2 linked regions of the Neurospora crassa OR74A genome follow. The protein of the gene in region 2 purifies or fractionates together with the protein of the main gene of each other region. This does not show direct contact. Links are inferred from orthologs where the notes say so. Each region holds a gene or a part of one and is shown on either strand. Other genes may lie near its edges.

Region 1 (4,234 bases), on a different chromosome or scaffold from region 2:
CGCGCGAAAACAAGTTGATCGCCTTTGACAACTTCGAGCAGCTGATTGAGAACCTGGACAACGCAAACCTTCTTGAGGAACTGTCTCTCTGGTCCCCCTTGATTTCCTTGCTGGATCACGAGGACGAGGATATGAGGTACCACGCTGCCTGGTGCCTGGGCACGGCGGTGCAAAACAACCAAAAGACGCAGGAACGGCTGTTGGCCATGGGCGGCGTGCCCAAGTTGGTGGACCTGGCGATGAAGGAGGGCGAGTCGGAGAAGGTGAGGCGCAAGGCTACGTATGCGCTTAGCAGTGCGGTGAGGAATTATCAGCCGGCTATGGATGTCGCGGCGGACGAGATGCATAAGCGCGGTCATGAGGTTTTGGTGAACAACGGGACCAAGGTGGATGCGGCGGATATGGATAAAGTGGATGAGGTTATTGACGTTTTGAGAAACAAGGCCAAGTCTGCTTAGAGCTGTCTAAGGGGATGAGTAGGTTGAGGGTTTGGGGTTCATGATGGGGATGACCAAATGAAAGGAAAATGGGACTGAAAAGATATGGTTTTGGTTTTGGCATTGGAAAAGGCGTTTGGTTTTTTTTGTTTGGAGATCCTTGGTTGATCAAGACGAATGGGTTCTGTTGTCATAATATCTTGACCTGTTCTGTGCAAAGCTAGACTGGGATATGGATATGTGGTTCTAGACTTGGGAGTTGTTTATGAAGCAGATACCCTTGACGATGTCCGTTTACACAATCCAGTTCACGCAATGATGACACCCTTCCAATTGTTTTACGCATTTGTGATTCTACTTCTTTGATCTTTGACCGTCAGACCCGGTGGTATTGTTCTTCTTCCGTTTCCTTTCCACTTCGTCTATAAGCCTCCTCCTCGTGATGTTGTTACAAAAGGTATATATACACCCAACATACATCGTCCTTATGTGGTTAGTGTATTCGTATTGTACAAGTTTCACACATCTCCTCATCCTCCTCAATTGTCATCCAACAACTATCATGATGCGAGATGTTGTTCATCATCTTCTCATCCCCCTTCCTTGAATCTCGTCCCTTTCTCAACCTCTCACGATCAACAGCCCGTTTGGCGCTTAGTTGCTGTAGAAAGGAACGCCGAGGGACTGGAGCAGAAGCTTAGCCTGCCTGTCGGAGGTGGCTGTCGTCTTGATGGCGATGTGGCAACCGGGAATCATCTTGGCGGGGTACATCTGGAGAGGATAGAAAGTCAGTAATCTGTCGTCAAGTCCAAGAAAACAAGAAGACGAAGCAGACGGTAGGGCCAAAGCCGGAGCCAGAGCCGGAACCAGAACCCTCCCTACTGTAGCTTCGGCTCCGGCTCCAACTCCAAACTTTTGTTCTCCTCCGTCCTCTCTTTCTCTTCCACCCATCATTTCCCAAGAAACAAACTCACATCATAGTTGCATTCCACCTCGGGAAAAAGCTGAACATCCTCCGGATTCAAACCAAACTGCACATTACCGCTTCCATCACCCGTACTCGCCGGCACGCCCTTCCAATCCTTGATCCGGGGGAGAACCAAATGGATCAACCGATCCATAAACTCCCACGCCGCGTTTCCGTAAATCGTCGTCTTGCAACCAGCCGGTTTGTTCGCCTGCAGCTGCCACTGCACCACGTTGTTCTTGGACCTCGTCATCTCCGGCATCGTCCCCGTCATGGCCAGCAGCACCGCCCGGGCCACAATCAACAAGTCCGGGTTCTTGAGACCGAGCGGCACGAAGGTGGAGACGGTGATTTCCTTGATCTCGGGGATGTTGCGGAACGAAATGTCGCGCTCGCGAATGGGAAGCTCGGGGGCACCGCGGGGCGCGCGGCGGGCACGGTTGGCGAAGTAGGGCGAGTCGCCCTCCCAGGCACGCAAGCGCTCCGTGGGTTCCTTTTTGGGCGTTCCCGGGGGTGTGTGGATGTAGGCCAGGGTCATGAGGTCCGAGGCCATGACGGTGCGGAAGGTTTCCTTGAGACGAGGCATGTTGAAGGGGCCGGGAACGAAGTCGCGGGCGATAGGGTCGGAGGAGGGAGGGGATTGGATGGGGTGGAGGGGGCCGCGGTTGTACTTGGGGGGGTGGTATTGGTATCTGTTCGGTAGGAGGTGAGGCATGGTGGTTAGCAACGTTTAAACATCTTGTTTATGGTTTGCGTATATGTATGTATATATACATGTGTGTGGCTAGCTATGTAAACCACGGGACGGAGGGAGAGTGTATAACGCACCTGCTGCTAGGCAACCTCGCCTTCCTGTCGGCCGCGCGCTTCCATGGCCTGAACTCCTTCTTGTCCTCTTCGCTGGGGATGGGAGCGTCCAATGCCGACCGTGTCTCAAGCTCGGCGAGGTCGGGAATGTTGGATTTGGGAGTAGCGGCAGCAGCGCCGGCACCAGTTTGTGTCGAGGCGCATCTTCGGACGGCGAACTGAGCAGAGAAAGGCTGAAGAGCGCGAGCCGATCGCGAGACCCCGCGGAGACTGGCCATGGTGAATTAGGATACCGAAAAAAGAAACCGGCGTTCGGGCGGACGCTCTGGTTTCGGAATTGGCGACCGTGGAGGTTGTCGCTTCGGAGTGGTGGTTGAGGAAGAGGGTCCGGCGCACGCGGGAAATCGGGGCCGAAGGTCTGTCACGGACGGGCAGAGGGCAGCGAGGTTCCTTCTCCGGCAAGCGCAAGGTCCTGGTCCCGCGTCGAGGCTCGAAGAGGTGCCGGTCCCCGTTGTGCCGCCCGCCGGAATTTTTTTTGGAGCCTCTGCGGAGTCTCGAACCGGGGCCAATGCTTGGCAGCACGGGCCAAAGCTGGATGAGTTTGGGGTTAGGGATATGAGTCTGTTACCCCTGAAAGCGTTCCTGGACCCCTGAGAATGCATCTGATGTGGTTGATGAACTCTAAATAAAGCATGGATTTGGAAATATATCACTATGTTTGTACCAATATAAGCGATTCAGATCAGGATTCCAACACATTAAGACGACATGTATGATTAGATTAGGAGACACTTGTATATGCGTACGCTTCCTTTGCTCGAAGTATCCTCCGAGCCACTAATAATTACATCATTCCGCGCACACCTTATCAGCATGTCTAGCAATAACAACAAAGTATGTAACGGGGAAGAAAGAGAAAACAGAAAAAACATCCAAGTATCATCATCACCGTCCAAGACTACGTCCCCATCGCCTCTCAATATTCTTCCGCCCAGAGCCGCTTCTTCTCACTTGTCCCACACCCCCATCACCATCCCATTTCAACTCATAATCAGACTCCCCATCTTTGCCCAAATTGGGTAACTTCACCTTCACCATCCCCTCGTTTCTCCTTTCTATACTCCTCCTAGCAGGAGAAGTAGTCCCAGCCGGCTGAATACTGTAAAGCAACAACCTTGAGCCAGCACCGCAGAACTCCGTCTTATCACCGACGCAGAACGACCTCTTGCACTCATACAGCTCTGACGCCGCCACCGCCGTGTCCGCGAGCGAATTGCCGCAGTAACACTCCTTGCCGAACTCCACGCCAAAGAGACTGTAGCCCCTCGACTGACAGCGTTCGTGGCACATCTCGACCGTCATGCTCGTGCTGTTGGTGTACGAGTGAGCTTTGAGAATACGAGCCGTTGAGTTGTCGATGAAGCAACCCTGTGGCGTCGCCAAGCGCCCGTTAACCACGGACGGGTTGACGAGCCGGGGCGTCACGTAGTTAGTTTGTCTGAAGACGTCCAGACGAGCGCGGCCACCGCAGCGTGTTGATGGGTCACCGGCGCAGGTGAGATTACAGCCAGTCTGGCCGAGGCTGTAGCCGGGCTTGAACTCGAGACCACAGTAGCATTGGGATTGGAACTCGAGGCCGGCGAGGGGGTAGTTTTGCTGGGCGCAGTAGTTAAGACATTTTTGAATGGTCATGCCGGCGCTGTCGTATAGGTAGGTGCCATTGAGCGCGCGAGCAGTAGGCGCGGCGGTGTTGGAGTCACTGGCACATCCTTGGTAGTCCCAGTTCACAACAGCAGGAATTGTAGGCGAGGCTGAGGCGATGTTCGTGGTGGAAGTAGTGGCAGCAGTGGCGATGGTCGTGGTGGCTTGAGTAGGGGCTGTAGTAGCAACGGCGGCGGCGGTTGTAGTAGTTGTACTAGTTGTAAACAAGACTGGGGTGGTGTTCGTAGTAGAACTAGTAGCGGTAGTGGTGGTAGTGGTGACTGGAGCAGGATCTGTACTCGTGACAGCCGCAGCGGTTGTA
Region 2 (3,728 bases):
TTCTTCTTCTCTTCTCTGTGTTCTGTATTTCCTGCTGTTTCCGCACCCCAATTGAGTTCCTTAGTACCATGGAAGTTACTGACCCCTCTTCCCTTTGCAACCACAAAAACAGATGTCCAAACCTCCCGCTTCCGCTGGTCCCGCACCTTCCCCATCTTCTTGGGCATCGTAGCCGCCACCTCGATCGCAATCTTCAACTACCAGAAACTCTCTTCCCCCGTGGTCGAGTCAACCCTCTATGCGCTGCGCACGAACCAGCGCGCGCGCGAGTACCTGGGTGACGAGATCTACTTCAAGGCGCAGATTCCGTGGATCTCGGGCGAGATGAACCAGCTGCACGGCCGCATCGACATCAAGTTCAATGTCAAGGGCACCAAGCGCACGGGCGTGATGCGCTTCGCCAGCTTCCGGCCCACGCCCCGAGGCATGTTCGAGACGACCGAGTGGAGTCTGGAGACGGAGGACGGCAAGGTCATTGACCTGCTGGAGGAGGGCGATCCGTTCAGAGCTATCAACGGCCGTGCGATGGAACCTGAGCTGGATGATGATGCAGAGGATGCGAAGGTCAGGGGTTTCAGGCAGATGCCCAAGTAATTGTTTTGGGGTGCTCTTAAGGAGGGAATAGTTTTGAAAAAAGGGAGGATATATATGGGAACCGGGGAAGGTGGTGGTCCCCCTCTCCCCCTCTCAAACAGGATGAGCTGAAGGACAGGATCGTGGTCTGGCTCTCTGATTGAATACCCGAAGGCTGTCAAGGAGGAATATGTGTAAGATATAGGGAGAGAACATACGAACCTATCACGGGCAAGGGTTGTATGTTCAAGTTGTTATACATTTTCGGTAGCTGTACATTTTAACACCCCACGATGCGTGTGTATCATACAAGAGAGAACTAAAAAAAATGAGAAACCGGGAAGGCTTTACCATACATTCCCTTCCATAAACCTAGTACAAACACATACTACAGACCAGAGACAGCCCCCCTCTCTTAAGCCGAAGCTTCTACCGCAGCATTTCCATCCGCCTTCTCTGTCAGCCCATTCTTGATGAGCGAATCTATCAGGCCCTGTCTCCTCGCCTCCTTGAGCTCCAAGTGCAACTTCCTCGCCGCCTGCAACTTCTCCTCCGCATCAGGGAACCGCTCGTTGAGGAGCTGCTTGGTGGCCTCGACAAACTCCTCCGGGGGAGGAGCCTTCTTGACAGCATCCTGAACCTTGACAACCGCACCCTTGTGACCAGCGACCGCGCCCTTGACCACCACGATGCCGAGCTCGTTGTCCACCATCAGAATGGGCAGGTTCTGGACCGTGTGCTGCTGCGCGCCCATGCGACCGGGCATCTTCTTGCCGGGCAACACACGCGAACCGGAGCCCTGCGAACCACCGACGGAACCAATGGTACGGTGGTTCAGCGAGTTACCGTGCGACGCCTCCTGACCGGCGAAGCCGTGACGCTTCATACCACCGGCAAAACCCATACCGCGCGTGATGCCGCGCACGTCCACCACCTGGCCGACGTGGAACCAGTCCGGAAACAGCTGGACGCCGACCGGCAACAAGCCGTCCTGGTTGCGCACCTTGAACTCGGCGAGCGTCTGCTTGGGCGGGATGCCCTTGGCCTCGTAGTAGCCGAGCTGCGGGGCGCCCACGTTTTCGGCGCGGCGCTCGCCCAGGCCAACCTGGACGGCCCAGTAGCCGTTCTTGGCGCGCGTCTTGTTGGCGACGACTTGGACCCGGTCGAGCTGCAGAACGGTGCAGGGGATGCGGGCGCCGGTGCGGCCCATGAAGACGGTCATGCCCTTCTTGACAGCGAGCACGCCGGTGCGCAGGGGTGTAGTCTTCTCGCGGCGCTTGAGGGCAGCGGCCGGGCCCGAGGTGGGCGCCGGAAGACCCTGCGTCACTTGGTTGAATCGTGTGGGCCTGCTGCGCTTCGGGAGCGTGCTCCAGCCGTACTTGACGCCGCGCTTTGTGATCTGAGGGAGGAGGGAGGGAAAGACAGTCGATGGCGAGGAGGCGGAGAAGGTGGGTGTGGTCCGGCCGGCGAGGAGGAGGGAGCTGGCGGCGGCGGTGGTTGTGGTGTGGGTGGCTGACCTCTCGACGAGGGAGAGCTGCCTCCAGCAGCGCGCGGGCAGCCGGGGCGCCATCGTGTATGTGTATAAGTCTGAGGGGAGGGTTGGGTGGTGTTGTGTTGCTTTTGGTGGGGTTGGTCGCAGTCAATTGGACCTGACGGTGTTCGTTGTATCGATGTCGGGGCCCCGGAGCGTCGAGTGGGGGGAATGGAAAGGACACCGGCTGTCTTCGAGACGCGAACCGGAGGGGGCGGAGTTGGGAGGTCGTTTCGGCGCGCGGCCGTTGAGGTGGTTTTGGGGCGGGTGCGGGAGTGGTGGTCGCCGGCTCGAAGCACGGAGCAGCAGAAATTTGATAGCCACTCAGAAATTCAGTAACGGGATGCTCCCCCCCCGATAACGTCGATCGGTTCGGCATCCGGGGATTCACAATTGACAGGGGAGGGGCGGCTATTCACAGGCGGGTACTATGTATTTGGCGGATTGTGGTGTACAGAGTGTGACATCTCTACAAGAAGGGTTAGGGTTAATTGCTTCTTTCTATTCACTTAGGTAGTTTTACTTCCGCTGGAGTGCGGGCGCATTTTACCGCATTGGATCCCCCAAACTCAACCGCTAAAACATCTTCACTCGAACCACCACCACACAGCCCCAGAGAAGAAATCGCGTTTTTGCATCTTGGTTTCCCTTCTTGCACGAAGTGTCTTTTTCATTGTCGCCGTTTTGAGATACCCAATATTCCCATCTTTCATTTCTTCCAAAGGCATCAGCAACCATGGTCTTCTATTTCACTTCGACCGTCGTCAGTCCCCCGGCTTTCATTTATGTGGGGAAAGACAAGTTTGAGAGTACGTGAAGATGATCATCAGCCACAATTGGTGGTATTCTGCATCTCCTTGTGGAATATGCATATATCTTGACACACTCATGGACATTGCATATTTGACTTGGATATAGATGTCAGCTCGTCACTCATCTAACATGCTATTTTATAGACGAGGAGTTGATCCAACACGGCTGGGAGGAGGATGTATGGTAAGTTTCACCCCGGCCAAGCCTAGTTCGGCATTTTCTAACTATTCTTCGTAGGGTATGACTCCCCATGAGGTTCTCGTCATATTATGCTCTGTTTCTCATTACTAGGCCCTACTTAGTTCCATGTCGACAAACTTTCCAGTGCTCATATCTACCTCCGTCTCCCAGAGGGTTGGACATGGGAGAACATTCCCGAGGAGCTCCTGACCGACCTTGGTCAGTTGACCAAGGCCAACTCCATCGAGGGTAAGTTGCTGCTTTTGAATTCTACTGTCAGGAAGTCATGGGGGAATTCGTGAGGACTAACTCTGTGCTTTTGTAAAGGTAACAAGAAGGACAACATCACAATCATCTATACCCCATGGGCCAATCTCAAGAAGGACGGCAGCATGGCGGTCGGCCAGGTCAGCTTCAAGGATCAGAAGAAGGTGAAGCGCATTTTGATCGCGCAGCGCGAAAATGCTATCGTCAACCGTCTGAACAAGACCAAGGTTGAGAAGCACCCGGACCTGCGAGAGGAGAAGGAGCAGCATCTCAAAGAGCTGCGCAAGAAGGATCAGGCGGCGGTGCTGGCGCGGAAGAAGGAGGAGGATCGCCTGAAGAAGGAGCGGGCCGAGAAGAAGTGGCA

What was found.
Region 1: the proteins of NCU06749 (region 2) and NCU04171 purify together in Saccharomyces cerevisiae (affinity purification with mass spectrometry, with the first as the bait; 3 studies listed by BioGRID). This does not show direct contact. The link is inferred for Neurospora crassa OR74A from reciprocal best matches to the Saccharomyces cerevisiae genes MRPL9 and MRPL7.

What each region holds. Positions count from the first base shown.
Region 1 is NC_026505.1:5,079,154-5,083,387, reverse strand, and holds NCU04171 (mitochondrial 54S ribosomal protein YmL7/YmL5), read right to left. Parts: upstream 2,765-4,234; 5' UTR 2,490-2,764; coding exon 2,233-2,489; intron 2,097-2,232; coding exon 1,412-2,096; intron 1,209-1,411; coding exon 1,092-1,208; 3' UTR 760-1,091; downstream 1-759. Other genes in the region: NCU04172 (hsp70-like protein), read left to right, coding at 1-458; NCU04170 (hypothetical protein), read right to left, coding at 3,157-4,234.
Region 2 is NC_026502.1:2,066,222-2,069,949, reverse strand, and holds NCU06749 (mitochondrial 54S ribosomal protein YmL9), read right to left. Parts: upstream 2,487-3,728; 5' UTR 2,144-2,486; coding exon 989-2,143; 3' UTR 779-988; downstream 1-778. Other genes in the region: NCU06748 (hypothetical protein), read left to right, coding at 113-594; NCU06750 (coiled-coil domain-containing protein 25), read left to right, coding at 2,841-2,913, 3,061-3,100, 3,243-3,346, 3,425-3,728. UniProt on the Saccharomyces cerevisiae protein: Component of the mitochondrial ribosome (mitoribosome), a dedicated translation machinery responsible for the synthesis of mitochondrial genome-encoded proteins, including at least some of the essential transmembrane subunits of the mitochondrial respiratory chain.